4 linked regions of the Tribolium castaneum genome follow. The protein of the gene in region 2 purifies or fractionates together with the protein of the main gene of each other region. This does not show direct contact. Links are inferred from orthologs where the notes say so. Each region holds a gene or a part of one and is shown on either strand. Other genes may lie near its edges. The genes, in order: mrj, Stip1, ATPCL and Tpr2.

Region 1 (7,566 bases), about 19 Mb from region 2:
TAAAGTGCATGAATATTTCATAACTACTATAACAGGGTAAAGTCGCATAATCCTAATTTAATAATAAATACAGTTTTTCTTTTAAAGTCCTTATAAAACAAGTCAGGACTGTGAATTCGCTTCGCTCAAAGGACCCTGTCGCCTGTCCGAATTTGTTTAATCGGAACCGTATTCATTTTTGTGCTCAATTAGGCCAGTAGAAAAACGGCAAAAAGGCGAACATTTAGCAAAGATACTTTAAAAACGAGTAAACAGTAAATAAAGTAATATCTTTGAAAAATGCTACTTTTAAAAAGGCTGTTAAAAACAGGGGTAAGAAATGTTTAAAAACAAGTGTTCTGGAGGGGCCCTATTAGTTGTATTCACCAAAATTCAATAAGCTTTGATGAATAGTTTTTATAATATATAACTGTATCTATACGTTTTAGCGACCCTATACTTTTTTAATCTACTAAATTTCATCAAATTTATTAGACAGACTGATCTAAAAATACTGTGTCTGTTGTCAATACTGAATTTAATTTTGCAAGGACAACAATAGAGTGTGTTAACAACAATTCTATAATTTTGTGGGGTTGTATATACGTTAAATTAATGTCGAAGAAAACCAAATCCGATTGCAGTGTTGCAAATTACGAACAAAAATACTTAATCTGTTGCCAACAGATTGAGTTTTTCAGACTGTAAATATTACGAGTATTTTCTGGAAACCTGCTGGTATAATGAATTTAATGATAAATGGGTTCAATAGGCGTACCGTAAATGGGTGTCCCAGCACGGGGAAGAGCCGGACTTGCCCGGTTTGAACCTAACCCATGACCAGCTGTTTTTCCTCAACTACGCCCAGATCTGGTGCGGGTCTATGCGGCCAGAGGATGCACTGACCAAAGTCCGCTCCAGCGTGCACTCGCCCGGACCCATCCGGGTGTTGGGTCCTCTCTCCAACTCGTGGGATTTCGCCAAAGCTTACGATTGCCCGCTCGGATCGCCGATGAACCCGACTAATAAATGTAGCGTTTGGTAAAATGGGACTTTCACGCGCTCTATGTCAAGTGTCTCGTTGTATTTGCAAAAATTTAACACTTTCATCTATATTATCGCCGGGCCTTTGTAGCGGGGCCCACACCTAACTTGTGCAATGTAAATATTATTGTTTTATATAAAACTGTACGCAATTTTACATGTAATAAACCTACTTTTCCTATTCTAAACATGGTCTGTACTAATATACAAAGTATGTATTTTCACATTATTACTGGGTGTACTGTTTATTATTAAATATAATTTTTAAGATACTAACAAGAATTTTCTTCACCCGAAAGTAGGTAGAATCCAACGAAAAAATTAGTATATCTAAAAATAACACACATTTTTTACGAAAAATCTTCCGTAGATATTTAATTCGACACATAATCAAAATGCGGTTAATATTAACATAAACAAAAATTGACTGCTACTGAAGACACTAACATGAGATCGAAAATATACTCAATTAGAGCAAGCTGTGCCTGTAGAACTTTGGCCATATTTTAGCCGTTTATTTACGGCGGCACTTTTGAAGTTTTACACAGCATATGATCTGGCTAAAGCTTTCAAGGCTAGCTCTAATTGAGTATATTTTCGATCTCATGTTATTTAAGTCATAGAATTTTCACAACGCTCTTGACTAAACTTGCATTTAAACTCAAAATACAAAAAGCAAATGACAAAACAATTTTATAATAAACTTGTTACAACAGATTGGAAATACGTGGCAAAGTCATATGAAGATAAAAATGACCTAAAAACTGTTTCATACGAAGCCCTGCAAGTTGTAAAAATTTTTTTTTTGAGATTTACTAAGCCTTTTTAGTAAACACAAATCACCAAAATAACTCAAAATGTCAACACACTTCCACATTAGAAATAGAAGCTCAAAGCATTGTAGAGGGAGGATCAGCGTTCTGTTATCATTTTTTGCAAAAAGGTTTATCGAAGATGGAATAAAGTTACTGTATAGAAATTCATGTTAGTCACTCCAGAAAGCGAATAAATGCAGTCACACGGTATAATATTATCGTACTATTAGTCTGATTCATTTTCAACAAAAAAAGTAAATTTATACCAAATTTTCGCATTGAGGTTTGTGTTGTTTGCGTTTTCGCTATTAACACATTTCATAATTATTTTTTTCTTTTAATGGGTAGACAGGTTTTATCATTAGCATCATGTAGTATAAACCAAAATTCGTTTCTTATACCAAGAATCCTAATTCGCGTCTTATTTGACCTCAAAACTACCTATCATCCGCTGTTCAGGTTTTTGTACAGATTTGAAATGAAATTTAAGTTATGACTGTGATTAATGAATGACTAAGATTGTGTTATTTTGAAAGCCTTATTAATTTATCTGATGCTTCGAAAGATAATGGGTTCGTTGTTTCACCTTCCTTTATGTAAGTAGTTAGAGTGTGCAACCAAATTTTTACCATTTTTTTTATCTTTACTTTAATATTTATTGATTAATCTAAAAATTAACCCTCGGATAATAATAATAATATTATGTTGTAAAGAATTAGAAAGAACGTCTCTGAACTCTGAATGATTGTATTCCTGGCCTGTGCCGTTGCGAACCACCAAAACTTTGTCTAAATCTTACTGGACCCAAATGGTTCCCTATTTACTATCCTGAAAAAGCCCCAAAAAGCTGGCGAAACGTTGACAATAAACAATTTACCAAATTAAAGTGTGTCTGCATTCCCTAAATACCGAATTAGTTATCAGTTATCAATCAATCAAACAGACGATAAAAAACAACTTTAACTAAATCTTAAATATTGATATTTCCAAAACCATTGAATGAATAGACCTGATGTTTTCACTAAAAAATTATTATCTATAGACTTCTAAAGGCAATAAGTACAAGAACGTGGTGAAATTTTTAATATTACCACTCTGGTTTTCTACATTTCGAAATTCTAACAAGAGTAGTTAATTTTCGACAGCGATATGTTTAGAGAAACACGATTTTTTGAAACGTAATATTTTTACACAAAAAATCAACAATTCGAAAAACTCGGCACTACTAATAAACGAAGTTGTAAACTGTAGATAGCCAATTCGGATGGACACAGTGGTGTTCTATTGGACTGTAAAGGTCCCATTTGGGTGAGAACTCTGTTTTCCAGCTGTCTGTTTTGGTGGGATTAAAATAAAAAATGCGGAAATCGTTTATATTATATTTTTTCTAACACTGTGACTGTACATCTCTAAGCACACATTAATAGTATAATCATTTGTGTACTTAACAGTAATAGTAAGTGCTTGGGAAAAAACTAGCAAATTAATATTAAATTAAAATTAAAACGTTGCATAATACAAAATATCTCTTCCATGTTAATTCCTCCTTTGAATCAAGCTTAATAAAAAATGAGCAGTCTTGGCAAAAACAAAACGAAAACCGAACTTTTTCACATGACAAAAATGTAACTAGTAACTAAACAACTCATCCTGAGCACCTCTCGTTCAAGAGCGTCATCAATTCCTATCTCTAGCTAACCTAAACTGCAATGATGTAAAAACCTCCTCGATTCTTACATCATCATAACATCTTATTAAAAATTAAGATACTACAAAAATTCTGAAAACAGAATCATAATATTTTATTGTACAACTGAATAAAAAAAACTTGAAACCAGTTGCAAGAAGTCTTTAATACACACACTGACAATTTGGCAACACTGCGTGGCCAGAAATCGATCAACATCAAGATCACATAAATTGTAGATTCTTCTAATTTTGTAAGTAGCAGTGTGTTTAACTGTACGTCAGACTCTGAGGAACCCCATTCACAGTCTTCGATTTGAGGATATCGTTCTCGTACGTCATCACCGTCTCTCTCCCGTTCTCGTACACCCTGAAACCGCAAAATCACCTTCAAAATACCACCAAAAATCCACTACTCACTTCTTCGTGGTGATTTTCTTCCCGTTGGCGAAGCGCGTCGACGTTGACGTCCTCTTGACGTTGGCCGTGCCCCCCGCCCCGTTTGTAAACGTACTATTTATGGTGCTGAAGGAGGTGAATCCCCCATGGCCCGTATTGAAAAACTCGTCCATGAAACTACCCCCCAGACTCACCCCGAACGGGCTGAACAGACTCGAACTGAGAGCATTCTGTGGATGTGAATGTCTGTTCCGTCGCCGGTCTCTATGCCCGTGATCGTGAAAATCTACGACTCAAACTTAACAAAAAATACAAAACAATCTTAGGACGTACCTCCAAACAAGTCGGCAAGAGTAGAACCCCCGAAAAACTCCCTGAAAACGTCCTCCGGATCTCTGAAAGTGAAGAAACCGAAACCGCCAAAGTCGAATTCGTCATCGTGGCGGCTGCGACTACGACTACCGCCGTTGATGAGCCCTTCTTTACCGTACTGGTCGTACATACGACGTTTCTTATCTAGAAAAAAATGCCACAATGAATGGGGGCTACAACAAGGAGAAAAAGCTAACAGACGAGTCCTCAGAATCGTTGTGGACCTGCTCTAAGAGGGTAAAAAAGAGGCTAGAGTTAGAAAAACCGCAGATTTTAGTCGGAAAATGCCAAAATTAGTCATTTTAGTAGTACAGGCCGGAATTTTAAAGCAAATGTGCAAATTCATTACAAATTATACACTCTCTAAGAAAATCGAGGGGAGCTTAAACATTGATGTAATTAACTGAGTACGATATGAAAAAAAAAACGCAAAAAAAGGGCAAGAGAGAAGTAAATGTATACAGATTTGGGAAAAGCACGGACCCAAGCGGCCTACTTATCAAGGTATCTTACCAAAAAAATCGCGGTAGTAGGGTGCCATTTAAAATTGTTTTTTAATAACTCGAAAACTAAAAATAATTTCGAAAAATTTTATTCTTGAAAAATGATCACATTTTTAAAGTAGTTGATGAAGGACTAAGAAGTTGTTTTTTCCATAAGGTACGTACATAGTTAAGGCACAAAACGCTCGGTTCAAGTCTGTATTTTTGTAATTAGTTATTATACTGAATTTCGTAAAGTGTCAAATTTATTTAAAAGCTAAGGCTCATGAAAAGTCAACTTATTTAAATTTAATAATTTCTTTCCTATATTTTTCTTGTATCTTTCACCATATTCGCAACGTTTTGAAAAGTTTGAGACAGAAGCAACTTTAATTTTTTTTCTCATGTTTTTTATGAAAATTTTGGTCAACTTACTCGTATTAAGAATTTGATGCCCAATGTTCCTGCCTTTTTTTCCAAGTAATTAGTGAACTAGTTGAATTTAAACCAATTTAACACAAGCTTTCGCGGCTAGTACCAAATAAAGAATTGGGTTAGACCGCGTTAATTTGAAACCCAGCGTCGACGTTTCACCCGCTCTTCAGGAGGGGCATCTTCAGGACAATGTCGACACTGATTTCCAAATTAAAACAGGTCTAACCCAAAAAAACCTAGATCTTTAAAACAATTTAAATTCGAAACCCGAAGCTTTTGAGCACAGAAAATTGACTTATTTTTGATCTTGTTTCTCCTCCAATTATTATCCAGCTGTCTATTAGTTTAAAAGCATTGGCAACTTAAGTAACAGTTTTGTCTCAAATTATAGTGCTAGAACTGCTTATTACCTTTACTTATACAATAACGAAAACCGATTTTCTATATCCGCGCTTTAAGTTAAATTATTTCAATTTCAATTATGTCGTCATAACCGCCTCACGAGTATTTAGTCCAATTTTAAGATCAAATAATTTTGAGTAGGATTTTGGATTGGCTAAATGACACTAACCATTCATCAAATGTGTGCCAATGGTTTTTGTGCAACTTTTTTGAACTCAAGATAGGAAAAAGAGTCAATTTTTGCTTTTACAATATGTGAAAAAATGTTACATGTTTTAGGAGCGAGTTCTGTGAAGAGAGACAATTTTTGTGTACTTTTAATCTGTACCATCCTAAAAAAACTCGGTCAGTTTCAATAATTCGCACAATTTGAATCTTTTCAAGAAACAAATAAATACGAAATCGTAAGTTTTTACGGATTAACTAAAATAACATTTATTGTTTTTACACAAACAATTATTATTATCTTTATCAGTTCTACCTGCATACAGGTCTCTCAATTTTATTGTTCTAGAACTTCTAGAAGCAATCATAATCTACGAGTAAAATTACACATAACCAAATATGGTTACAGATACTAAAAACAAATATAAAAAAGTAACTCATATGTCTCGTGATTATTGGCTTTGTCGTTATCAATTTTGAAATTGTAAAATGATGAAAAACCAACACATTTATCGTGTACGATCACACTTTTAAGGAGAAATTTAAAAACAATTACCTAACGAGGAAAAAAGCAATTTCCCACAAGAGCACTCTGTTTGCTGCACGAGCGCAACGAGTGCTGCATGAAGTGCGAATGTGAAAAATTACTTTCCAAACAAGTTAAGTACAATATTTTTTGTAACAAATCTCTCAAAAAAATAAAATAAAAATTAAGATTTTTTATAATTTAGTTCTTTTACTAATGGGTTGGGAACAGGTTAAACAATCAAAAAATTGACATGAACTGTCACTTACTGTAAAAAAATAATCTTTTCCATCTCAAAGGTAGCGATACCAACCTAATAAATGTCCCTAGCCATAAATAATAAAAAAATGAAAATTCGGTTTCTAGCAAGTGTTTTTCTTTTTGGAAATTAATTTTCAAATAGTTAACCCTGGTGAGTTAACATCTTACCAAAATTGCGAGGTATTATTTATTAACACCGAGGACCGTCAGAACAGTTCCAGAGACTGTAACACTACCACACTATTTTATCAAAAACTGTGCCAGAAAGTCATAACAGAAGCGAAATAGAAAAACACGAGTACCTACATATACGATGCGTTCAAAACAAAAACAAAAGAGTTGCGATATACTCTTTTGATTCTGACTGAGTTACAATTGTTAAGTTAAAAAATATCACTGAAAATGTAGATAGTCGACTTTTATTTACTCGCGTCTCGCCTTTTTTTGTAAATTTCGTCTTGGTGAATAGTATCATTATACCCCCATTGATTAATTAGAATGTTGTAATGAACTTTGCACATTTTGTTATTGTTGGAGATGAGAAAAGGGCCCGTTTAGCACACTTTTTTGTATCTACCGAAATAACGATGAAAGGGGGTATGAGTGTCAAAGTGACTCCTGTAGGACCTCGTTCTTGTACTAGTGGACCTATTCGAGCGGTTGTCGTAAATTTTTCGTTTCGAATCTAAATTACCCGAAAAAAATCAAAATCAAAAGTGGAACCTAAACACATCCAACTGTATGTCTACAACTTCAAGCGGACTTACCATCAGAAAGAACTTCGTACGCTTCGGAGATCTCTTTGAACTTCTTTGTGGCGTCCTCGATGTTGTCTTGGTTCTTGTCGGGATGCCATTTCAAAGCCAATTTGCGGTAACTGCAATTGAAAGTTAAGGACGTTTTGGCACTCACGAGTTTAGAACTTACGCTTTCTTAATTTCAGCAGTCGTTGCGTTTTTTGACACCTCGAGGACTTTGTAATAGTCCACCATTTTGGTGC
Region 2 (8,478 bases):
TAAACAATTCCTGGATGATCCCGTAGTTTGTTTAAATAATTTTCAAATTATAGCAATTTGTTTATAGAGAACAAATTAAATAAAAGGACGGATAATTGGCAATTCATGAAGTAATCAATTTTTTGTGTTAGCATGTCATCGTAATTCGAAACAAAGAAATCGTTTAAATGGAACTATATTACAATTTTTTTGGATAATTTCAAGAAAAATGGATTGTTTTTGACGCAAAAATCCATTTAACTTAAAAGATTTAAGCAAAACAAGCCAAAATTCTACATTTCCACAAATTGGTTTTTAAGATATTGTAAAAAAGTACTTTTTCTAGACTCACCCTGTATATTCGAATGCCGGAAATACAATTATATAACGAAAAAGTTTGAGTCTTTTGAACAAAAATGTTTTGGAGCCATAAATTCACATATTTTCAGAGATCTCGACAAAATAAATAGACAAAATTAAAAAAAAAAAAGTAATATAACTAAAGACAAAGCAAAATAATCAAAATAAAATTACTGAATTTTTTTTGTTCTTGCCGTATTTTGTAAGAAGCAATTGCTTTTTATTTAAGGAACCAAATGATGAAGCCCTTCGTATAAAATTATCTAAAATAACTTGCTATTTTATGTGTATTTTTTTAACTTACAGGCAGAGGAAAATTGACCTGAATTTAATAATTGAATATCTACTTTTTTTAAGAGAAATTATTCAAGAATTACGCAATTTTACAAAAAATACAAGGAGCAATAGAAATGATTTTCTAATTTTAAAACCAAGCGTTTTAAGAATTTGTTCAAATAAATTTTAAATTTTTGATGATGATTTCTAAAATAAAGTGTAAGAATGTTGTAATAAATAAAATTTTAATTAAATGATCCGCGTTTATCTGAATTTAAACGATTTTTCTTACAAATTTGAAGTATCAGGTGAAGAAAAAGTAAAAACCGTTTAGATAAAATAAAGACTATTTGTTCTTGTAATCAAGTGTCAAATAGCCGTCAGGTTGGCAATACATTAGTAATTTTTGGGTTTAAGATTGGTACAGTTTTTTAATTTAAATTTGTTACTTTATTTTAATTTTTTTAACTTACGGACGGGAAAAGTTTGATGTAAATTTATTAATTACATAACACTTTTCTTAAGAAAAATTTGCCAAGAATTACGTAATTAAAAAAAATATACAACTAAAAAGCAACAGAAATCGGTCAAAAATGCAGAGAAATTGTTAAATCGTTATTTTTTATTTTAAAACCAAGCATTTAAGGGTTTGGTCAAATTTCTAAATTCCTGGTGATCATTTCTAAAATAAAATTTAAGAATGTTCTAATATATAGAATTTTAATTTCATAATTCGAGTTTATATGAATTTAAATGTTTTTTTTTACAAATTTGTAACATCAGCTAAAGAAAAAATAAAAACCTTTTAGATAAAATAAAAACTATTTACTCTTGTAATTAAGATTGACACTTTTTTTATTTAAAATTTGCTACTTTGTGATTTTTTTTAATTACATTCAGAGAAAATTTGACCTAAATTTATTAATTACATAACCACTTTTTCTTAAGTAAAATTAGTCAAGAATTAGTCAGAGAAAATTTGACCTAAATTTATTAATTACATAACCACTTTTTCTTAAGTAAAATTAGTCAAGAATTACGCAATTTTAGAAAAAATATATTTAACTAAGAATTTTTAGTAGAACCTAAAAATAGTAATTACAACGAGTTTAGGGATTTTTTTTAAACAAGAAAACATATTAGTTATGTTATTATTGGATTGGTAAGAACAAGAGGGCATATTCTCTTTTATCTTCTTAAAAAAAATAATTAGCGAAAAGCATAAGTCCATATTTATGAATTTAGAAGTATGCAATAATTTTGTCACAGAGTTGTATTTAACAAAAAAAAATTTTTCATAAAAACTAAGGATTACAAAAAAATGGTGTAAATTTGTAAAACTGTGCATGAAAAAATAAACAATTCCTGGATAATCCCGTAGTTTGTTTAAGTAATTTTCAAATTATAGCAATTTGTTTATAGAGAATAAATTAAATAAAGGGTCGGATAACTGGCGATTCATGAAGTAATCAATTTATTGTGTTAGCATGTCATCGTAATTCGAAAGTTTTCTTCGAAACAAACAAACAAATCGTTTAAATGGAACTATATTACAATTTTTTTTTGATAATTTCAAGAAAAATGGATTGTTTTTGACGCAAAAATTCATTTAACTCAAGAGATTTAAGCAACACAAGCCAAAATTCTACATTTCCACAAATTAGTTTTTAAGATATTGTAAAAAATACTTTTTCTAGACTCAACCTGTATATTCGAATGCCGGAAATACAATTATATAACGAAAAAGTTTGAGTCTTTTGAACAAAAATGTTTTGGAGCAACAAATTCACATATTTTCAGAGATCTCGACAAAATAAATAAACAAAATTTAAAAAAGATAAAAGTAATGTAACTAAAGACAAAGCAAAATAATTAAAATAAAAAATAAAATAAAATTACTGACATTTTTTTTGTTCTTGCCGTATTTTGTAAGAAGCAATTGCTTTTTATTTAAGGAACCGAATGATGAAGCCCTTCGTATAAAATTGTCTAAAACAACTTGCTATTTTATGTGTATTTTTTTAACTTACAGGCAGAGGAAAATTGACCTGAATTTAATAATTAAATATCCACTTTTTTTAAGAAAAAATGTCAAAAATTTCGCAATTTTAACTAAGGAGCAATAGAAATGATTTTCTAATTTTAAAACCAAGCGTTCTAATAATTTGTTCAAAAAATTTTTAATTTCTTTTTTAAAATGTTCTAATAAATAAATTTTTAATTAAATGATCCGCGTTTATCCGAATTTAATCGATTTTTCTTACAAATTGGAAGTGACAGGAGAAGAAAAAATAAAAACCGTTTGGATAAAATAAAGATATTTGTTCTTGTAATCAAGTGTCAAATAGCCATCGGGTTGGCAATACCATAATTAGTATTTTTTGGGTTTAAGATTGGTACATTTTTTTAATTTAAATTTGCTATTTTATGTTTATTTTTTTAATTTACGGGCAGGAAAAGTTTGATGTAAATTTATTAATTACACAACACTTTTCTTAAGAAAAATTTGCCAAGAATTACGTAATAAAAAAAATATATACAACTAAAAAGCAACAAAAATCGGCCAAAAATGCAGATAAATTGTTAAATCGCTTTTTTTTTTAATTTAAAACCAAGCGTTTAAAGGTTTGGGCAAATTTCTAAATTCCTGGTGGTAATTTCTAAAATAAAATTTAAGAATGTTCTAATATACAAAATTTTAATTTCATAATTCGAGTTTATCAGAATTTAAATGGTTTTTCTTACAAATTTGTAACAACAGCTAAAGAAAACATAAAAACCTTTTAGATAAAATAAAAACTATTTGCTCTTGCAATTAAGATTGGCACATTTGTTTTATTTAAAATTTGCTACTTTGTGATTTTTTTTAATTACATTCAGAGAAAAATTTGATCTAAATTTGTTAATTACATAACCACTTTTTCTTAAGTAAAATTAGTCAAGAATTACGTAATTTTACAAAAAATATATATAACTAAGAAGCAATAGAAATCGGTAAAAAGTGAAGAAATTGTTAAATCATTTTCTAGTTTTTGGTGACAATTTCTAAAATAAAATCAAAAAATGTTCTAATAATTAGAATTTTAATTAAATAGTTCGCGTTTATATGAACTTGCAATGATTTTTCTTACGAATTCGAAATGACAGCTGAAGAAAAAATAAAAACCGATAAAAAAAGGGCCGTATGAATAAAATTAAGTAAAAGCTTTTACTTCAAATTTTGCAAGTAAATGCTCTAAATTGTATGAATAAAAATGTAAGTATTAACTGTTTCAAAACTATAAAAACGCCAACGTCGCATTTTCTTTAAAAACTAACTGTCATAAATTATTCATGCACTTCAAAAAGTTAATAGATAATGTAATTTGTGGATTCAATGACAAATTATTAATAATTACTTTACAGTTTTATCAACCTTATTTTTAAAAATAATTTAGTAAAATGCGAGGTTGGTGTTTTTATAGTTTTGAAACAGCTAATAGATGTTTCTTTATTTAAAATTTTTGGTAATTGAGTAAACTTTTTTATTACTTTGAAATTCGTGTTTTTATTTAAAAATTGATCATTTTAACAAGGAACCTGAGCATGTTCACTTGCTCAATAAATAGAGCCACACATTATGCAATTTTACCAACTTGTTTTCCATCGAAAATTAAAACTTACCAATTTCCTTCTCTTTTTCAGCTAATTCTGGATTAACATAAGCTTTCCGTTCCTCTTCTTTGATAATCTTCTCAACATCGGACAACAGAGTTTTAATTTCAGGCGTCCTATGTTCGGACATTGACTTTTCGTAATAAATTTTCGCATTTTGATAATCCTTTAGTCTCTTATACGCATTCCCAATCCTAAGAAACGACTTTGCAATTAATTTAAAATCGGCTCTATTCTCCCTCCCTATATCAATAGCCCTCTCGCACTCCTTAATACATCGATCGTAATCCTTCTGTTCGAAAAAAACCGCCGCCAAATTATTATAAAACGTGATATCGGTGGGATCGTGTTCAATCGCCTGATTATAAAACTCGATCGCTTTTTCAAAATTCTTCTTTTTGTAAAATTCATTCCCTTGTTCCTTCGCCGCTTTCGCCAGTTTCTTGTTCTCGGGTAAGTCCGGCTCGGGTTCTTTCTTCGGTTCGGGCTTCTTCGGTGGCGTGTACACCGGTTCGGTCTCCATCGGTTCTTCCCCCGGATCGATTCCAATCAAGACACTCAACGTGGTCAAAATATTGGGGTCTTGTAGTTTCTGGCCGAGGAGATTGGGGTTTGTTTTGAGCATGTGGAGCGTCGCGACGTAGTTGGGGTCATCGAGCAGGGGCTTGGTCCGGGGGTCCCCGCGAAGCTTCTCCATGAGGTCAGGTCGGTTGAAAGGATTGGGGAACCCCTTGGCTGTTTTCTGGGCTTTGACCTCCTGCAGCCCCTCCTGGAGCTGGGGGTTGGCGGGCTCGATCTGCAAGCCGCGCTCGTACGTGGCGATGGCCTCGTCCAGGCGCCCCAGGTAGGCCAAGGCAGCCCCCTTCCGCGAGTAGCCCTTGGCCCAGTCGGGCTTCAGTTCGACCGTTTTGTTGGCGTCTTCGAGAGCCGATTCGTGGTTGTTGGCTTTGGCAAAGGCGGCGGAACGGTTGGAGTACAGGACGTGGTTCGAGGGGTCGAGTTTGATGGCTTCGGTGTAGTGTTTGATTGCCTCTTCGAACTTGTTGGCGGCCAGTGCGGCATTGCCTTTGTCTTTCAAAGCGGCGACCTAAACGAAACATCGTAAAAGGATTTTTGCATTAAATAAATGTGTACTTACTTGTTCCATTTTGACCGGCACTTAATAATCACAAAAACACGTTTCTCGACGATTCTTATTCGAGAAGTTTCCAGTCATTGAAGATTCCCCCACCACACGATCTGTCAAAAGGGATATATTTTTTGACATTTTCAGACAATTTATTAATTAATCAAGCGTAACATTGTTTCAATTACATTATTCTACTAGTGAAAGAACGTACATAACGGTAATTTCATTGAAAATAGTTTTTTAATCAAAATTAAAAAAATAGTGTATTGTTGGTTGCCTGTCTCGGTACACGATAGTTCTGTTATTGTCACCAGAGTGCGCAGTTTTCAGAAAAAATAAAAACAAGGCAAACAAAATTAAATATAGGCAGATAGAGCATTAAGGCTAAAGAGGACAATAGAGTTAAACCCAATGTGCGATAAATAGCCCAATCAAATTAGACAAAAATGGTGGAAAAACTCCTAGAGAGTAATTTTTTTAAAAGCTTCCTTTACATTTCGTCAGACATATACCAAAAGTCCCCGAAGATGGGGGGGCAAGCTCGAGGAAAGGGAGGGGTTCAAACTGTTTTTTTTGTTTTTTTTTGCTTATATCTCGAAAACGGTCACCCCTAGCAATTTTTATCTTCTTATCAAAATTAAAGTAGATAAAATTTCCTACAAAATGGTCCTAGCCTTATTGTTGTATGACTAACCGTAAGCGAGCTACTAGCTTTTGAAGTTTGGTATCAACATGACATTGTATAACTAAACATTAGTATACCATAAGTATTTATACAGGATCACTGAAATATGGATACAGTTAAATATTATAAAAACTATTAATCAAAATTTATTAAAATTGGGCATATGCTTAAGAGTATATAAATTGTATCGTTTCAGATGTTTATTAAATTTATATTTCCATTTGTTCTTCGGATACAAGGATAACTTGATTTTTTTGAATAACAACAAGGGTCAAATTAATATTTTTGAAAAGAGCATTTTTTCTGAGTTCTATGGTATAACACATGTATACCTTAATTTAATCGAACCTTAAAAAAATTGAAAATTTTGAAAAACGTAAAATTTTATTAGCCTTGGAAATGTTGTCTTTATCTCTCGTTAGCTCATTAACCAAAAAATAAGCAAAAGTTAAAAATAATTGTTAAAATATCACTATTAATTGAAAAAGAACACGTTTTAATTAAGAAATTTTAAATACGGAATACTTGATTTTTATGGTACATAGTAAAAAAAATTTTTGTATTAAAGTTATTGATAAATAACTAATTTTAGATAAATGATATGTGGCAACGTTGTCTAACAGCCATGATCGCAATAGAATTTGAGCAACAATAAAAATAAATTATTTTTGAAACGGTTTCCTAGGAAATAATTCCCAGTGTTGTCACATCTACACATTGTGATTTTTTGGATGAATTTTAATTTTTTAAATTAAAAAAACTGCTAAAATCTGATAGTAAATTTAAAAATAATTATTCATCGTTTTGTTACGGAACGATTACTTACTGTAAAACATAAAAACATTAAAAAATAATAAAAATTGAGGAAGTTAACAAAAAAAGTTTGTGGTTTGAGATTTTTTAAAATATGACTTTAGGATTTTTTTCAAGATTTTTCCCATAATGTACACATGTTTCTCAACAACGTACTACTGAGTTGGTGCGCCAGTTTTTGAGCATGCTGTATAAAGGGTCTCCCACCTAAGCTAAGAGTGGGAAATAAGGGAGAAAAATACTTTTTTCCCTCGGGCTCTCCAGATGAAGACCACAATTCAGCATCTGAAGATGACCCACATTTTATACGATTATTTTTTTCCAGCTCTATAACTCGCTTATGGTTAGTCCTACAAGAAAAATGCTTTTTATTGGCTTTAATTTTGATCAGAAGACAAAAATTGATAGAAGTAACAGTTTCCGTTAAAGCAAAAAACCAAAAAAAGACTGCTTTAACCCCCTCCCCCTCCTCAAGCTCGCCCTCCAACCTTGGGGACTTTTGATATATGTCTACCCAAGTGTAAAGAAAGCTTTAAAAAAAAAAAACTCCAACTCTCTAGGAATTTTTTCCACCGATTTTTCTAATTTGACTGGGCTAAAAAACAAGTAGTAATAAAATTTATTTTACTATAGACTGATCCAGAAATACAGAGTCAGTTGGCAATAGATTTGAAAGTATTTGTGCTCGTAATTTGCAAAATTGCAACCGAATTCGATTTTTTTTGACAATTATTTGACGTACAACCCCACAAGAATGTTAAATTGTTGTTAACAGAAAGCGTACTCTATTGATATCCTTAAAAATTTAAGTTCCGTGTTGCCAACAGACTCAGTATTTCAAGTAATAGTTTTACCTAAAACAAGTAGTAATAAAATTTACTTTTTTATTTTTGGCGATATTTGTAATCCAATTTTAAATCGATAAAAGGAATTGAGTGTTTTAAATAATTAGAATTTGAGACAACGTAACACTTATTTGAAAAAATTGTTTTGATATTTTTTTATTAAAATTTTAAACAAATATTCATAATAATTTAAAAAACGTAGGGGAAGATGTACTGTGATGACATGAACAGAACAGAACGAACAAAATTAATAAAATTAAAATGTTCAATCATAAAACCAACTAATTTCAAAAAAAAATAGTCAAAAACTACTTTTGTTTTTGAACATTTTAGCACTGAAATTTGTCGGTTAAATTATTTTGCTTCTATTTTATTTTGCTTAACCATTTTTTAGGAATAAACATTTTACTGAAACTTATCTTTGATTTTTTCAGATTTTGTATTTTTTGTATTTACCGTAAGAAGATTTTGTTTAATACGTATTTTGGACATTTAATGAACTTTGGTTTTGACTTTAAATTTTTGTACAAAATATTATTTAAGCATCGTTTGTTTTAGAATGACAGTTTGAAGAATTAATGTTTTCATATTTTAATTTTATTAACACTAGTATTAATATGTATTTTTATTTGAATTATTGATAATAATTTTATTGTATGGAATTGTAAAAAAAATCACAAAAAATACTCATATGTACATAAAGAAAATAATAAATCATTTTTTGCAAACGCAAATTT
Region 3 (8,037 bases), on a different chromosome or scaffold from region 2:
GACACAATATCGGAATAATATATGTGGTATTGTTACAATTGCGAGTATTATATCAACGTGTGGCAACGTGATTTAATACATTTTTTGCCTACTTTACATAATTTCTGTTATTAGCCATAGTTAAAAACTGGTTAAAACAAATATTTTTCGTAAAAATAAGAAGCAAAAAAACACGATTGTTTTAGCAAAATTTCGTCAAAAATAAACCAAAATTTAAAACACAGCAACACAGCCCATAAACACGTTTTTGTGATAAAAAAATATTGAAATATTTTGTTTAAATTGAAGGTGGGTAAAAAAGAACTATTCAAACCAGAAAATTAAAAAATATAAAGAAAAAATAAACAAAACTGGTTCAAAAATTCAATAGTTTTTTATTTTTTTTAAATGCGACATTTTGACACAAATAATATTTCTTACGTCATTTTTAATTATTGACAGATACACATCTTTATCTTTCTGAAAAGTACAAAAAAGTTCAAAAAAATAAATAAAAAAACTTAAAAAAAGAAGAAAATAAAATAAAAAAGTTATAAAAATTATTGAGAGTATTGCACAAGGAACTTTATCTTTTTATTTTGGCTTTGTTTTACAAAGAGTGTTTGTTTATTTTTGTTTTTGTTTTTGTATTTAGGTGTCATATATTAAGTGTTTTCATGCAAATTGTACAAAAAATTATAATAAAAAACAATTGCCGCCTCATGTCCATGTTTAATGAGCAATTTTTTTTTCATAATTTTTTAATTTTTAATTTCATTTTTTTCTTATTACCAGGTAAAAGTAAAAAAGTGTACTCAGTGAACAAAAATGTCGGTTGTCATTAAAAAAAAATAAGAATGACATCACCACTCAAAAACAAATGACATCATAAATGGCTCTATAATGTCAAAATAAAGTATTTAAAAAAATAAAATCTAAGTGCTAGAAATTTTTTTTGAAAAATGACTATTGAGAAAGCTATAAATTTTGTGCGTTACTTTTGATTAAGTCTGTATATAGTAATTTTGGATGGCTTTAGAAACAAAACACATAAATATACTAACGTTGAAAAAAATATAAGAAATTAATAAATTTTATAAACTAGAAGTAAGATATTGTAAATTAAAAAAAATCTGCAAAAGCATGAAAAATAATTTTGTGTATTTTTTATTAAACTTTTCTTCCCAGTAAAAATTTTTATCTCGATACTACTAATATCTCAAAATTTTTACAAAAAAAAACACAAAAATAAAAAATAGTGTCGTTCAAAATAAAATAAAAAAAAAAACAATGGCAAACCAATTTTTTTAATTTGGTTAGTTTTCAACTTTTTTCTAAAGAATATAGCATATATTTTTATTTATTATAACAGTACACCAATTTTTTTGTATTTTTGGAATACCGCAGCTGACTAGACCGTCTTAAGTCATAGAATTTTTTTCATAAAATTTTGAACATTAAAGTGTTTTCATAAAAAAACTATCGAATTTGCCAATCCAATGATAATAATAACAACGATTTTTTCATACTTCACCTAAACTGAGCCAAAAAAATCGTAAAAAATTCGAACGAAAATTACATTATTTTTCGTTTTGCGAGCGATTGGGGAAGCTTTTCTATCCAAACAGCGTATGTTTTTTTTAAAAGCAATTTTTGCATCTTTCGAGCATTTAAGCACACTTTAAAAAAATTGCTAAACCGTCCAATAATTCCAAAATTGTAGACTAAAGTTCGTTAAAAATAAGTCAAAAATAAAGTAAAAAGTCTGGTACTTAGGCGTTTTTCGAGCAGTTACGCACATTTTTCAGCATTCAAGTGGTAATTAAAAACTTTCTCATAAAAAATTTCCCATTAGTTTACAACGCAGAGCAATCAAAACGTTGGTAAGTGTCGAAATTGATAACAAAACATGTGGGGTACAAGTTAGCTAAAAGCTAAAAAGTTGAAATAACTTGTAAACAATTTTTTTTTCAAATTTACTTCTAGATAAAAGTAACCAAAAAATTATATTTTGCATAAAAATTTGCTCAAAAATATACATTTGAGTTAATTCTTCGAAAAAATTTCAAAAAATCGATTTCTTTACCTACCGACTGCGCCCAACCGTTGTGTCTTTTAATACATTTTCATTGTCTTACAACACGAAAAATTCGAAAAAAAAATAAATATATGGAAAAAGAGTAACTAAATAATTTCTTAACTGTCAGAAATCTAAGATCCCCGATTATCCACCACACACAAAAAATTCCAAGTAAGTCAGGCGGCAGTCAAGTCTCAATTAATTAACCAATTTATTAAAAAACCAAAAAACAAAAAAAATTCCTACCGACTGCGCCTAACACTATACTTATTATGTTAGACACACTGTATTTCTCAAACAATTTTTGACTCACCTGGATATGCATCACGTCCAAACGGCGGCGGATAATCAATCTCGCCCCACATTGGCTTACAAATAAAATCAGCCGTAGCGTCCAACTTAGCCGCCAAATCCAAAACATAAATCTCCTTCTGGGTGACGACCAATGGATTAATTTCCAAATAAGTAAAATACAAATCAACGTACAACTTGTACAAATTATTCACAAAATTCGCAATCATCGCCTTTTTACTCGCATCAACTTGACTCAACAAAGCCTCCGTGATGCGCTTTTCATCGACACTTTCACCCACAGGAACCTCCAATTTCACAGCTTTCGAATCAACATCACCGATATCAACGCCACCTTGATGATAAAACAGGATCGTATCGCCATGTCGGTGCGAATAAATACAAACATAGACTTCTTCGTTGTCTTTGTGAGGAACAAAAGGTTCGATGATAAAATTGCGAAGTTTGCCGGTGGCGGCACCGATTTTTTGCTCTTTGTTCATACGATCGCTTATCCATTGCTGCACTTCGGCTAAATCTTTATTGACAGCGATCAAACCTAAATAAAAAAATATATATAGTTTAAAAAGTTTGAAGCACTCGCTACGCTCGTACCTAATTTTCCTCTCCGTTTGATAAGTTGGTCAGGTTTCACAACCAACTTTTCGCTTTTCAACCATGGATGTGTGGCCACTAATTCGGAAAATTTCGTTTCGGGTTCGACCGAAGCGAAGCGACATTGCACAGCGGCGGTACCGCCAGGTAAGTGTTTGTTGATTAGATTTTTTCCGGTCGCTTCTCTTATTGCCTTCGCCGACATTTTTCTAGTTTCTAATCAACGAATTGATAAAAAAAATCAATGTTATTTAAATATAACAACAATGTTGTCTATAAATAAATAAACACATAGATAACTGAACTAGTAAAAAAAGTCATAGTAGAGTTATGTATTCTCTTCTATAAATAGTGACAATACAAACGAACAAAACAAAAATAGTTGACGTCATGTTGTTATCTTCCATGTAGTTAATTTGTTTTGTGTTAATGGTCGAAATTAAAAATAAGAGAATGTTTATTACTGTTTTAACTCATTTTTTGTCATTAAACATTTTTTATGTTGTTGTAGTTTTTGATCAATAATTTAATTAAACACATAGTCAAATTTTCGCTTCTTTGTAACCAAATGTCAATCTAAATTTATAGCAAAAAGTATCATATGATTTTTTTATTGTTTGTTTAAGTTGGCAATACTGAAGTTTTTTTGGCAAATACAACCACAATAAAATAGTATTAGTGTTTGTAAATCAGAAATTATGTTGGTCACATTGAAAAATGTAGAAACAAAAGATATGGCACTTAAATGCCAACTTAATTTTAAACATAAAAAAATTAAAATTCAACTAAATGTCAGTTTCAAAATTCTTTAAAACGTATACAGGGTGACTCTACTAATAGCACATTTTAGTATTATATCTCAAAAACTAATAATATCTAATAATATTAAATACTTTATTTTTTCACTGTCAGTAATTTTTTTCTAGAAGTGCATATAATTAAAATTAATTAATTAATATATAGCATGACAGAGTAAAATATATTTTTACACAATTTATTTGAATTACTTTTAAAATATAATAAAAATCTCCCAAATATCAAAATATTTTTATCTAGAGTTGGCAACATTAAATTGGCAACTTATTTGATAAAATTTGATTGTGAAATTTGGGTGATAAAAGCAAGTTTGTCAACTGTAAATAAATTTATATCCAGTGATCAAGAATGACTTTTTGGGTTGGTAGTACTGAATTTGGTTTTTAATTATTATCTGACACTTCAAACTTCAAACAGTAGTTAAAACATTAACCTAAAAATTGTCATTCAAAACCGTGTTCATTCAGTATATTTTTTTAAATGGATTTTAATAATATGTATACAGAGTGAACCAAAAGTACCAAAACCAAAAATCCTTAAACAGGTCGATTTTATTATTTTTAATGCTACATTTTGACACCACAATGACATTTCTGACGTCATACGTTTTTGAGTAATGACGTCATTTTTAATTTTTTTACATATTTCTATCATTCCGGTAAGTATAAAAAAATAAAAAAAAAAGAAAATAAAATAAAAAAAGCTTTATTTTTTTCCGTCCTTCCATATTTTGTGTTAAGGTGTCGTATTAAATGATTTTATGCCAATTTAGAAAAAAAATACAAAAAAGTATTGCCACTTATAAAATAAGTCAAAAAAATCGATTACGCTTAATTATCAATATATTTTTTATTTTATAATTTTTTTATTTATAGTTTCATTTCTATATTTTTTTTCTTATTACCATAAAAATACGTACTATCAAAAAAAAAACAAGAATGTCAGTTGTCATTAAAAAAATTAGAAATTAGAATGTCACTGTAAAAAAATTAAATCAAACTTTTCTTTTTTTTTAATGACTATTTACAAAGATATAAATTTTGTGCTCTATTTTTGGTTCAGTCTGTATAATTAGATGTAGAGTCACGATTAAAAATAATGCCACACCGAAGCCACAAATCTTTTCGGTATGTGTGTGCGTTTGGACAGGTTGGTAGAGGTGTCATTCTATTTTATTGTGACTGTACAGAAGGCCAAAAAAAAATATTTTAATCAAACGAAAAGTGAAATTTAAATTATTGCTTAATTAATTAATATTTGGATGAAAATGTGTCAAATTAATGAACTTGCACGCACTCCAATTACACATTTGCATTTCTAGTTATGCACTTCCGGTTTCACCGGAAGTAACCATTTAAGAAATGTGAGAGTTGCCAATTATCCACAAATCAGTCTTCCATTAAGAAACACTCATAAACGAGTTAAATGCTTCACCCTGTATTATAATGCGATAATTTTGTAGTTACCGTAACTACACGAAAAAAACTACAATTTTTAATTACATTTTTCCATCAATTACGATAATTACGAAGAGAAAGTCACTCAAAAAAGTTAACATGAGCGTCAGTAATTCATTACTTGTGTCGTCGCGAAGAAAAAAATTGTTTTCGCAGTTGATAAAAAATCGAAAATTGCATAGTAATAATACGTAGCGTCAGCTATAAATAATTAATAATCGACCTAAATTAACCAATTGTTGCAAAATTTTCGGCGGGATTCACTTATGTCGACTTTCTAATTTCGGTGAAACTCGGATGAAAATAAAGAAAAATCGAACGCACACCACATTTCGAATGCGTTGACCTTGCCCTTATGAAAAATTAAAAACTGACACATACCACACACACACGTACACGTGTAATGTTTTCAAGTAAAACCGGGACTTTACCTTAACGTTTCCACGTCCACCAGTGCACTGCACCACTCGAGATGCGATCTCTCGTTTAATATCGCGTTGATAAGGAATTTGTGTGATAAGAATATGACACGGAGAAAGTCACTCCAAGACTGACCAGATTCCAGCAAATCGCGTGAATGAAGTATTATCGTACGATGTGTGTTGGGGGGACGACCGGATTGTCCCGACGTTGAATTTAGAGGTCATTGAAGACCTTTTCTGGGCCTATTTTTGACGAGTTTCACCTGGTTTTGATTTTTTTTTTTTGAAAATTTTGGGAAATTTCGTTAGGTTGGCAACCTTGCGGTATACAGGAGGTGTAGGAAATGAAGGTCGGGGTCGGTGGATGACACCACTGCTCGGACGCGTGTTACGAAAATGTCATCGATTATATTTTCAAATCACGCGATTTATTTTTACTATTTGATCAGTATTTTTGCAATTTATCGCATGTCACTAGGTAAACAGCGGTGCTTGCTGTGCAAATAGGGAATTTTATTTGTTGTGTGAACATTATTTTTTTAAAATCGGCCCAAAAATATTGTACTCCCTTCGCCCGTGCTGTAAACTATTTCTAAAGTAAAACATAACAGTAAAGTTTCTTCATGTGGGCTTTATATTTTCCAGACGTTAAGTAATCAACTATTTCGAAAAAGTTTTTTGATTTTTTTATACACTTTTTTTTAATATTCTTGCTGCAAACAAATATTGTTCATGTGGGCATTTATTTTTCCAAAAGCGTTTGGTAATCAACTATTTCGAAAGAACAAAGCGAACGTCATTAGGTGAAATTCTAAAGCATGTATTTCGGTTTTTATATTTTTTTTCAAAAATTTTGGTAATTTTTCAATTCCTCTGAAGCAGAAAATCTCAAATATCTCCGAAACTATCAGACGTGGCTCTTGAAGTTTGGTATTTTTGAAAAGCTCAACTAATTTCCCAACTTACGAAGAAAAAAAAATAGAAAAAAAAGGCACAAAAAATAACCGAAAAAATTTAATATATCCCTCGATAACTTCAAAACAAAGCAAAATTTTCGAAATTTCTCGACGCCAAGCGATTTGTCGAAACGATTTACGTACATATAGCCCAAAAAACTTTATTCTGGGTTTAAAATACGCACCCAAACATAAGAAGATAAAAAAAGGGCACAAAAAATAACCCAAAAAATTTAATATATTCGTCGATAACTTCTAAAGTAACCAAAATTTTCTCGATTTCTCGACGCCAGACGATTGGTCGAAATGATTTTCGTACATATAGCCCAAAAAATTTATTCTGGGTTTGAAATTCGCATCAAATGACAAAAATTAGTTTTTCAAAATTGTAAAGTTTTAAATGCATTTTTCAAAAAAAATTTAACAAACCGACAAAATCTGCTTTTAATTATCTATTAAATGGAGAAAACCTGGAACTGACTGGAAATATAGCTTTCACTTTGAAGGAGTTTTAATTTTTTTTGACTTTTTAAAATAAAAAATTCTTTTCCTCGAAAACTATTAGTTCCGTATCAAGACGGTTAGAATTCCCCAGACAATTTTTCATAAAAAATTGTTAATCATTAATTGGAAAATTCCTTTTTGACCAATTTTCTCCGTATTAAGTAACAGAAATAGAAAAATTAATAAACTTTAAAGACTTTAAAGACATAAAATCGCTCCTTTTATCTTCAAAAGAATCTTTATTAAGTGGATTTAAAAAAGGAAGCACTATGTCATTGATAAAATCAACAAATAGCTGTTTTCTGTAGATAAATTGTGTTGGAAAGCCCACCTGTATGTTACGTGTCCTGATTAAAATATTTTAAAAATGTAAGAAACAATTAATTTAGAGCCAAAAAACCTACACAAACAAATCAAGGAAACCCAAAAAAATAATCTTATTCTTGTTGTGATTGTAGAAAAGGAAACGCACTATCGTCACCCTTCAAATGATAAAAATTATCACAAAAGTGTCACATAATTAACATTAGTTGTTCTCGCTCAAAATAATTCCAAATTCTATAAGTTTTTTTCTAGTTTTAGTTTCCTGAACAAATTTTCATAACAAAATTCGAACTTGGGAGATTTTGCTTAATTTGAATTCAATTAGGTTTTTTCCGATTTGTCTCTGAAAACCTGACGTCCTTGCCCACATAACAATGCATTCCGTAGTACTGTATGTGACGTCAATGTCCCCCTAAGCCGGCCCTGTCCCCTCCCAAAAACAGCGTGATAGCCCCGTGAAAACAACAACTTTGCAACTTTATCTCTTGTCTGATGCAATCGGAGACGACCTTCCCCAGGTCAGGAACCTGCAGTTGTGCCCCCTTTAATAACCCCAGTGCGCCGTTAACGCCTCATTCACATTCCAAGTGCTT
Region 4 (8,689 bases), on a different chromosome or scaffold from region 2:
AAGAAATACGAATCAAATGTCTGAGGTGTTCTAATGGTTTAAATATTTTCCCCAAAACAATGACTTCTAGAATCTTCACGTGTGAACGCGTACTAAATTGTAACCGATCGATAATCCTCAGTGTTGTTAAAGTAACAAAGGTGTTAATTTGTCCTTTGTAACGGGTGTTTTCGAATATGTGCCAAATAATTGCAAATAAATCGGTGTCTTTTATTCCCCTCCCCCAATACAAACCAAAGACTCGAGACTATCTCCGATAGTACGACTGATGTTAAACCTTACGAAATAATTAATTCAATGTTATTGCGACTGTATCGAATTTTATTGTAAATAAAATATTAAACCAAGCGATTTTTCATTCATCAATAGACCCGTGCCACTTGTCACTTTTTGTCAACTTCAAATCGAAACTTAAATTTATCTTAATGAAAAGCACCCTGAAATGGAAACGCGCAACGGCCATCTACCCCACCGACCACATAATCTCATCCAAAGCACGCGAAGTTGGAACGTGGGGATTTAAGCCACAGTATGAAAACGTACGTAACAACACTCGTACTCCAATTCCTCATAATTTTCGCCAAACAGGTCACAAACGTGAATTTCCGCTTCTTAATGTCCAACGAGTATATGCGATTGTGGTTCAAGGAACGCGATCTCTACCAGAAAGAAAACTATTCCAAGCAAGAAAAAGCGCAGAACGAGTCGAGTTTAAAACGCGGTTTTGTGCAAAGGATGAGGACAAACACCACGCTCGAATCGAGAGAACTCCCCGTAATCCAGCTCAAACGGTTTCAAAACATTATGTCTAAAGTGGACACGAGGAGGAGCACAGACGAGAAGGCAAAAATCTGTCAACGATACAAGAAAACTATGGAACCCGTGCAACTCTCGCGGTACAAACCGAACTGTACAGTTAAACCTAAAACAATGACAAACATAGATAAAAGTCAAAAATCAAAAGGGAAGAAGAAAACGCCACGAGAGGACGCCGATTCGGGGGACAATCAGCCAGGAAAGTGTGGACTTGTATGTAAATTAATAAACTGATAAAGTATTATACATATATTAAATTTACATTTGGAACGATTTACAATAATGAAACAAGAAAACTTGTGCAGTCTTCCTCAAAATAAATAAACAGAAGAGGCATTAGGAAAATAAACGGGTTAAACTTTAGGATTTGTTAAATCTAGCACAATTTACTGTCAAGAAGGAGTGGAATGTGAGGGGCTTTAGATTATGACTTAGACAGTACACCAGGCTCCTAACTGAACTGGAAAGGAAATCCCGTGTTAAAACTGAAATCATTGGGGCAACTGTGCGCTTGTCCAAAGAACGACTGAAACACTTGAGTCGGGTCAATATCTGCAAAAAACCTCCATCACCCCTATTCCAACCCAAAAAAACCGCCATACCTGACATTCCCCCATCGAACTCATCCATGTCTTGCCCACTATCATACCTGGCCTTTTTCTTCGGATCTGACAAAATCCCGTATGCCTCCCCCAGCTCCTTAAACTTCTTCTCCTGGTCTTTTTTAACGGCGTCCGTAGCGTTGGCATGCCTGTCCGGATGCAACATCAACGCTTTCTTCCTGTAAGCTTTCTTAATCTCGCTATCGTTTGCGTTCCTCTCCACTCCCAAAATCTTGTAATAATCCTTGCGTTTGGACTTTTTGAGTGCGAATTTCGCATCTTGGAGCAACTTGCGGTGCTCACGACTTTTATTCAACTTGCACACTTTTTCGTAATCCCGGACTGCGTCCTCGTACTCGCCCAAGTCCATGTAGCAGCTCGCCCTTCGCAGAAGGGCCTTGAGATACGTGTCGTCGAGTTCAAGGGCCGAAGTGCAGTCATCGACGGCTTCTCTGGTTTTGGTGAGCCGGTGTTGGACTGTGGCACGGTTGAAGTAAAGTTTCGCGTTGGCCTTTTTGTTGAGAGGGTCGATTGCTAGTGCTTCGGTATAAAGAGTGAAAGCTTCCTGGAACCGGCAGTTTTTATACGCTTCATTGCCACTTTCCTTCGTCTTTTTGAGTTCTTTAGCTCTCTTGTAGATGTCCATAGCCTTTTTGTGGTCGGGTGCAAGTCGCAAGACTTGCTGGAAGTGGTTAAAGGCGCTGTCCAAATTATCTTCGTAATAAAGACACATTCCCCGTACGTAAATCGCATCAGCGTTTGTTTTGTCCAAATGCAAGGCCGTGTTGGCGATTTCTTGCGACTCCTGGTATCGTCCCAAGAAAGCCAAACATTCGGCTTTCATTATTTTGTAACGTGTGCAAGTTGGCGCTTCATCCAAACACCTATCCATGCAGTAAACAACTTTTCGGAAGTCTTTCTTTTCCATTGCTTTTGCTGCCTCTGTTTCGAACTGTCTCAGTTTTTCGAACGAACGAGTTTCATTGTTGATGTTGGCGTTCTTGTCAAGCAGATTGATCTGTTTGATGGCATTTTCTGCTGTTGTAAGGTCGCCAAGGGCTATAGCGCATTTCAATATTCGAATGTAGCCTTTGCTGAATGCGGGATCGATGGTTATGGATTTGCGTGCATCCTCCAATGCTTCTTGAAAGTTGTTCAACATCATGTAACATGCCGAGCGGTTCGAGTAATAGGCGGCGGTTTCGGGGCATAGTTCGATGGCTTCGGTGTAGAGATTGAGGGCAGATCGGTATTGCTTGACTTTGTATAATTGATTGCCATTTTCTTTTTTCAATTCGGCAAGCCTGAAACAAGCACGGCTTTCACAGGAACAACGCAACTTAAGTGTGACCAGAATGAGTGAAAATTGCCTTTTAATGGAGTGAATCACGCTATGAAGACAGAAAATTATAGGAAAGAACTGGGGAAAAAACGAATATTAACAATGATATAACGGAAGTTCACATAACTACCAACTTATCAAATTTAATAAGAATTTGGCTGAGTAACTAACGATGTTAACAACCTATTAAAAACAATTAAAAATAACGACCCAAACAAACATAAAAAGCTTACTCTACTGTAAACTTTTTCTCTCATTTTCTTCTGTCCGTTTTAGTTTGGTAGTAGTTTGCCATAAGACAAAGAATAAAATATTATTTTACCTAGTGCGGGGTCTGAATACAAAATATCTTAAATAATTAAGTAGGATAGAAAGGACTTGAGGCATTAGGAAAAAAGTTAAAGCTGAAATACGAAGAACTATAACTTAGGAGACGAAACGAGATACAAAATCGTACGATTTTCTGAACCCAAAAAAATAGTACGGTATTCGTTTTCAATTAATTTAAATCCAACCAATTGAATAATTACTTGGAGATTTCCATAAGAAACATGAGAAAAAAATATTTTTTAAAGATAAATTAAATGGGAAATTTTATCAGTTTTAATTTTGGTAAGAAGATAAAAGTTGATAGGAGTAACCGTTTCCGAGACAAAAAAAAAACAAAAAATACTTCTTTAACCCCCTCCCCCTCCTCAAGCTCACTCCCCACCCTCGGGAACTTTTGATATAATTCTACCCAAGTGTAAAGAATGCTTTAAAAAAATCCAACTCTCTAAGAATTTCTTTGTTTAATTTAACTGGGCTAATTCACTAATCTCCGAGACAAGGAGCAACAAACAATATTGCAGAAACAATATCTACACGTGAACCAGTAAATGACCTACCTACCAATATTACCCTAATTTCATGCGATTTGAAACGATACTTCATTAGAAGAAAATATTAACTTTTGTTTTTCTAATTTAGTAAATATTTAATCAATGAATTGATCTGATTTTCATTCGTGACTAAGCAAAAATATAGAACAAACTAGCCAATTAACATGCTAAACTGTGAAAATTTAAGGGCCATAAATCGTTGTTACTATAGCAACAACCAATAAAATTGCTAGATTTCTGATTTTAGGGTGGATTAAATTTTAACAGCCCTTTAAAACTTATAGCATGGACCTCAAAGTCGTAATATTCTGACGAAATAAAAACCTTAGTGGATAAAAATTCGTTACACATCCAGATTAGGGTTTTTTGAATTGGGTTCTCTTCAACTTTGATCACAATCATAGTCACAAATAGAGTTTGTAAATAAATCACATTGTTTTTATCTTATCAAAAACCAACACTCGTGTGGTCAATGTTTATTCCTTCGGTAGGTTACATTTGTCGTTAATAAACAACAAAGATAATCCAATTTAAAAGTGAGAACCTTACAGTTCTTATGCCCATTTATGAGGTAAACAAATTCAAAAACAACACTCACATATTGTGGCAATCCTCAACTTCCATGGTCTTTCTCGTTACAAATTGGTAAAAACCGCGAAAGTGTCACAGTGACAAGTTAGGAGAAATAATGCAAAGGCCATAAAATCCACGTTATAAATAAAATAACTGTCCAAACAAAAGGTTAAATTGTTAATTTGCACGCCGGACCAAATATAAACACTGAACTGTGGAGGAGTGAACCAGTAATTACAAAGGTGTACGACCTTAGATTAAAAATAACCCACGGAAATCGTTAAGACTGCACAAATCAAATTTAAAATCGCACCAAGTGGTTCACTGAAATAACCGAATCAATAGCAATTAATTGTGGGAAATTGCAGTAACAAATGTGAGTCAGTGACACTCGTGTCATCGACATTTCGACGTGAAACCCCACGAAAGCAGTGCTCAAAATCGAGGAATAAATCTAATTGTTGTAAAATAGCACTTACTCGGCTGGATTTTTTGGAATTATCAAATCTTCAGAGTCCATAACAACATCTTCCCCAAAATCTGCCATCTTGCACAAGTTGTGAAACGAGTAAGACCGATTCATCACCGAATTCAAAATTCGTACTGTGGGCATGCGCACTAGCTAATTTGTGACCAATCGATAAATTTTCACCAACGCGGGAATTTTGAAACGAAATGAATGGAAATGCGTTTGACAGTATCGCCTTCAACGCCAACAAATACGAAATCGACATTAAAAACTACTTCGTAACGCGCCAAGAGGACGACAGTACTCAGAGCGACACTTCGGACTCACAAACGGACCAGTACTTGGCCTGTAAAGGAGTTAAACTGCCAACTGCGGAACCACACATTTGCACCTGGGATTATTTAACAAAACCTGAAGTGATCCACTTGATGGGCATTAAGAGTAAACGACTCAAGAGGAATTTCATTGGTAGTAATATTACAATCGTTTAAAATTTGCCAAGTTTTCGTTGCAGAGGGAAAATTGCACAAAAAGCCCAAGGGACTTCCCCGGATCATATTCAGGGAGTTGATGTACTCTGTGACTAAATTCTGCACGTCTGCCAGTTACACCGTGGAACAAACTGGGGCCTTGTTGTCACAGTTCTACCTAACTCATTTATTTTTCACCAGTGTTTTGGATGTTGGTCCTGAAAAATTGTACGAGTATTTTAAAGGACTGCAAATGTGTCATTCTCTACCAGTAAGTGATGGGGGTCAAGTGTGGGTAAAAACTGTATTATTTTTAGTTCCCACCACATAGTATCAAATTGTTTAATTTGGAACAAATTAAGAACAATATGGTTTATTTCTGTAAACTATATCTTAGAAACCTGCCCTTGGTCAGGTTCTTGTGTTTGCCCAATTTTTCCCTATGTGCCCAACACCGCGTACAACCAGACGTCGCTCCACGTAAAAAAGGGAAGAAAAAAGGGAAAGGCAAAAAGGGTAAAAAAGCAAAAAGAAATGATCTATGAAATACATTTATTGAGCTATTCTAATTGTTTTATTCTTTGTTCGAGTTGTGAAACAAGGGTGCTTTGATGTTGGTTCAACTGCTGATGTATTGTAGTGGCTGCACTGTTGAGTGTTTGGACCAAAGCTGCTTGAGCTGTTTGCAAGTTTGGTATTTTTTCCAGTTCAATTAATTCGTCTTTACTCACAAATTTGCCCTCAAATATGGCAGCTAAAGGCATAATTAATTAAAAATAACAAAAACTGGATTATACAATACCTAGTAAGACAAGCTGGGGAAACCTTTTCGTGATTTTTAGCAATTTCTTTACTTCCGGTTGCGGACTAAAGACCATAATGTTTTGCGAGACGTAAAAATCCAAAACCGGTTCAAATTTCGTATCCTTGACTGCGATTTCAAGTGTTTTCTTTCCATATTGTTTAAAAAGCATGTCGCTTTTTTTGAACATGGCATAGGCTTTAAACCTTTGGTCTGATTTCATTGGATTCAAGTGATAAAAGGCAATGAGTCGCGAAGTGTTGAACCACATTCTCAATTCGCCTGCAATTATTTGCTGATACGGGTTGTGTTCATCTTTCACAATTTTATCTTGCGATTTTGTGCACAAGTCAATGGGTGTTTTGCCCTTTTTAGTACTGATAAAGAATGGATTCGTTAGTGTCATCATAATGGATCGTTCGCGATGAACGGGTTTCGGCCGCTGGATATTGATTTTGCCTCTGAAACGTTTCGCTTGGACAAGGGGGCTCAAACGTTCGAAAAGGCCTAAAACATTCATTTCAAAAACAAGCTAATGCATTATTAACTGTGTCATTCACCTCCTCTGGCAATTAAAGCCATTGTTTTAATTAAATTGGACAAAATTTCTAAAAACTGGTGCAGGGGTACATAACCTATAACTGTCAGGTTGACAATCGTAATTTTGGTTGCATAAACAACCGGCGTTAAAAATCAATAATAAGAAAAAAATTAGAAAAGCACCGGATCAGGATCAGTTCTCCAATGTGGCTTAAATTTCGATGAAGTGGCGTAATAAGTGAATAATTAACCGATTTCCGAAGGCTAAATGACCGTGAATGTCGCCTAGCAACTTGCGGCGACGTCCAGCGTCTTCGGCGTCGTAGCATACGATGCTTTCTAAATGCCACAAGAAAGGTAGAGTTTTCTTTCATCCTAGTACCGGTAAAGAATATGAATGAAGTCCAATTATTTCAACGTGCAGGTGAGTCAATTTTAGTCGTGTGTAAACAATTCCGAAAAAATGATGTTCGCAAATCGATATTACGAGCGCTTCCCATTTCTCTATGAATTTTTAAAATAAAACTAAAATCAATTTCAGATAATTGCGTTGTTTATGCTTTCGTTGATCCCATGGCCGGGGCCCACAGTTTTCAAAATCTCGTGTCCGCGAGATAATGCCCGAATCGTGCGGAAAATAATCCAGAACAAATGGATACCGATTTTAGAAAAATACAAAGTCAGTCTGCCCATCGAGTGCCCCTTCCACCCCATTAGGGACATCTTCGGGCCCCAGCAGGCCGCCAAACAGCAGCACCGGCCCTCGCAATGGACGTGCGGCCTCTGCGGCAAGTCGTTTTTCGAGGAGAAATACCTGGACATGCATTTCGACAATCGCCATAAGGGTTTCATAAATATGGTACAAAAACAATTACTATTAAGAAACTGAAAATTTTCTTGCTTTGACCGCGTTTTTCCAGGCCGAAGACGCCGTGTGCCTTGCAGACTACTGCGACATTATGAGATGTGACGTCTTGATAACGCAAGACCCCAAAACCGTCTATCCAGACACCGTCAACACGGATATAGAAATCTGGCGCGAAGCTTCCTCGTACACCAAAGCCTTGGCGACGTCCGGCCCACGCGAAGTCGCCAAATACACCTTCAAGGATGGGATTTACCCCCATCTGCAAAAAAGCGGAAAAGCAACGAAGCCCACCAAGCATTGCCAGAAGAATGAAGCACCGGAAGCGCCTAATAGCAACGGTAAGGTTTTTTCGATTTTTCTGATTCTTCAAGTGGGTTTTAGAAGAGCGCCAATCTGCAGGCGACGACGATAAATTGCAGAATAGTTCGAATAATGTGTGTCAAAATGATTTGGTGGATTCGGCTTTGCCGGCACCGGACAACAGGCAGCAGAGAATAGCCGAACTGCAAAAGTTGAAAGCGAATTGTAAACCGGAAGAACTGCAGAAAATTAAGACGAAGTGCGAGATTTTGGTGCGCGATTGCATCGCGGGGCTGCTAATTCAACTCTCGGTGAAAGATTTTAAAGAAGTTGAAGGTAAGAATTTACATGTTTACGTAAAACTTGAAATTTAGTATTTGTATGTACGTACGACGAATGATAAATGCTTTTATTACTTATTCTTTTATAACTTTCTATTTGAATTTAAATGTGAGTTTAACGATTTTTTTAAATACTAATTCTAAAAATAGTTTTAACAGGTTCACCCCACGTTTTACCAGAAGTGCACGCAACTTTGTTTTTTGCATGCCGCAGTTATGTTTCGACGTAATTTAACGCAAGAATTAACACTTTTACACTAGCGAGACACCCCCTGTATAAAAAATTCTTAAGGGGAGGAATTCCTCCTTTTCCAAGATAACTGTCCACAAGTCATTTGCCGTCTATCAGTAGCAATATGAGCATGAAGTTGCATTTGTACTCGTATTGTTGCCCAATTTTCTAAGTTTTCTTTTTTCAAAACTAAAGTTGTGTATTTACGTTAAAAACTACATTCATTGAATAATCATTTGCAAAAAAAAAAATAAGTTTCTAACTTTATTCAGAAGGAAGATATGATGATTTAAACGAAAAATTTGACCAATTTTAACTCCTTGTTGAAGGGAAATAATGTCCAAAGAACACTTTTTAAAGATTTTAGATTATATTCTCCCCTACATCCCGAATAGAAGAATCCTCTAACTTTCAAAAACGTTACTCAATACGGCTGTACAACACCGAGGAAAA

Evidence for each region.
Region 1: the proteins of Stip1 (region 2) and mrj purify together in Homo sapiens (affinity purification with mass spectrometry; 3 studies listed by BioGRID and IntAct, with this or other methods). This does not show direct contact. The link is inferred for Tribolium castaneum from reciprocal best matches to the Homo sapiens genes STIP1 and DNAJB6.
Region 3: the proteins of Stip1 (region 2) and ATPCL fractionate together in Homo sapiens (co-fractionation; 3 studies listed by BioGRID, with this or other methods). This does not show direct contact. The link is inferred for Tribolium castaneum from reciprocal best matches to the Homo sapiens genes STIP1 and ACLY.
Region 4: the proteins of Stip1 (region 2) and Tpr2 purify together in Homo sapiens (affinity purification with mass spectrometry; 4 studies listed by BioGRID and IntAct, with this or other methods). This does not show direct contact. The link is inferred for Tribolium castaneum from reciprocal best matches to the Homo sapiens genes STIP1 and DNAJC7.

Annotation. Positions count from the first base shown.
Region 1 is NC_087395.1:20,015,761-20,023,326, reverse strand, and holds the end of mrj (dnaJ homolog subfamily B member 6), read right to left. Parts: 5' UTR 7,559-7,566; coding exon 7,494-7,558; intron 7,444-7,493; coding exon 7,334-7,443; intron 7,252-7,333; coding exon 7,144-7,251; intron 4,440-7,143; coding exon 4,257-4,439; intron 4,210-4,256; coding exon 3,945-4,209; intron 3,895-3,944; coding exon 3,795-3,894; 3' UTR 3,204-3,794; downstream 1-3,203. Other genes in the region: Nep1 (neprilysin-1), read left to right, coding at 752-1,024. UniProt on the Homo sapiens protein: Has a stimulatory effect on the ATPase activity of HSP70 in a dose-dependent and time-dependent manner and hence acts as a co-chaperone of HSP70. Plays an indispensable role in the organization of KRT8/KRT18 filaments.
Region 2 is NC_087395.1:1,455,588-1,464,065, forward strand, and holds the start of Stip1 (stress-induced-phosphoprotein 1), read right to left. Parts: upstream 5,515-8,478; 5' UTR 5,417-5,514; coding exon 5,408-5,416; intron 5,357-5,407; coding exon 4,279-5,356; intron 1-4,278. UniProt on the Homo sapiens protein: Acts as a co-chaperone for HSP90AA1. Mediates the association of the molecular chaperones HSPA8/HSC70 and HSP90.
Region 3 is NC_087401.1:14,140,613-14,148,649, reverse strand, and holds part of ATPCL (ATP-citrate synthase), read right to left. Parts: intron 5,831-8,037; exon of another isoform or gene 5,670-5,830; intron 3,182-5,669; 5' UTR 3,171-3,181; coding exon 2,966-3,170; intron 2,910-2,965; coding exon 2,373-2,909; intron 1-2,372. UniProt on the Homo sapiens protein: Catalyzes the cleavage of citrate into oxaloacetate and acetyl-CoA, the latter serving as common substrate in multiple biochemical reactions in protein, carbohydrate and lipid metabolism.
Region 4 is NC_087398.1:7,329,317-7,338,005, forward strand, and holds Tpr2 (dnaJ homolog subfamily C member 7), read right to left. Parts: upstream 4,828-8,689; coding exon 4,694-4,827; intron 4,378-4,693; exon of another isoform or gene 4,266-4,377; coding exon of another isoform or gene 4,240-4,265; intron 2,723-4,239; coding exon 1,419-2,722; intron 1,369-1,418; coding exon 1,268-1,368; 3' UTR 1,051-1,267; downstream 1-1,050. Other genes in the region: uncharacterized protein LOC103313090, read left to right, coding at 4,890-5,151, 5,198-5,424, 5,471-5,698; mRpL10 (large ribosomal subunit protein uL10m), read right to left, coding at 5,714-5,907, 5,956-6,462, 6,516-6,537; uncharacterized protein LOC658204, read left to right, coding at 6,893-6,919, 7,037-7,354, 7,416-7,701, 7,745-7,999. UniProt on the Homo sapiens protein: Acts as a co-chaperone regulating the molecular chaperones HSP70 and HSP90 in folding of steroid receptors, such as the glucocorticoid receptor and the progesterone receptor.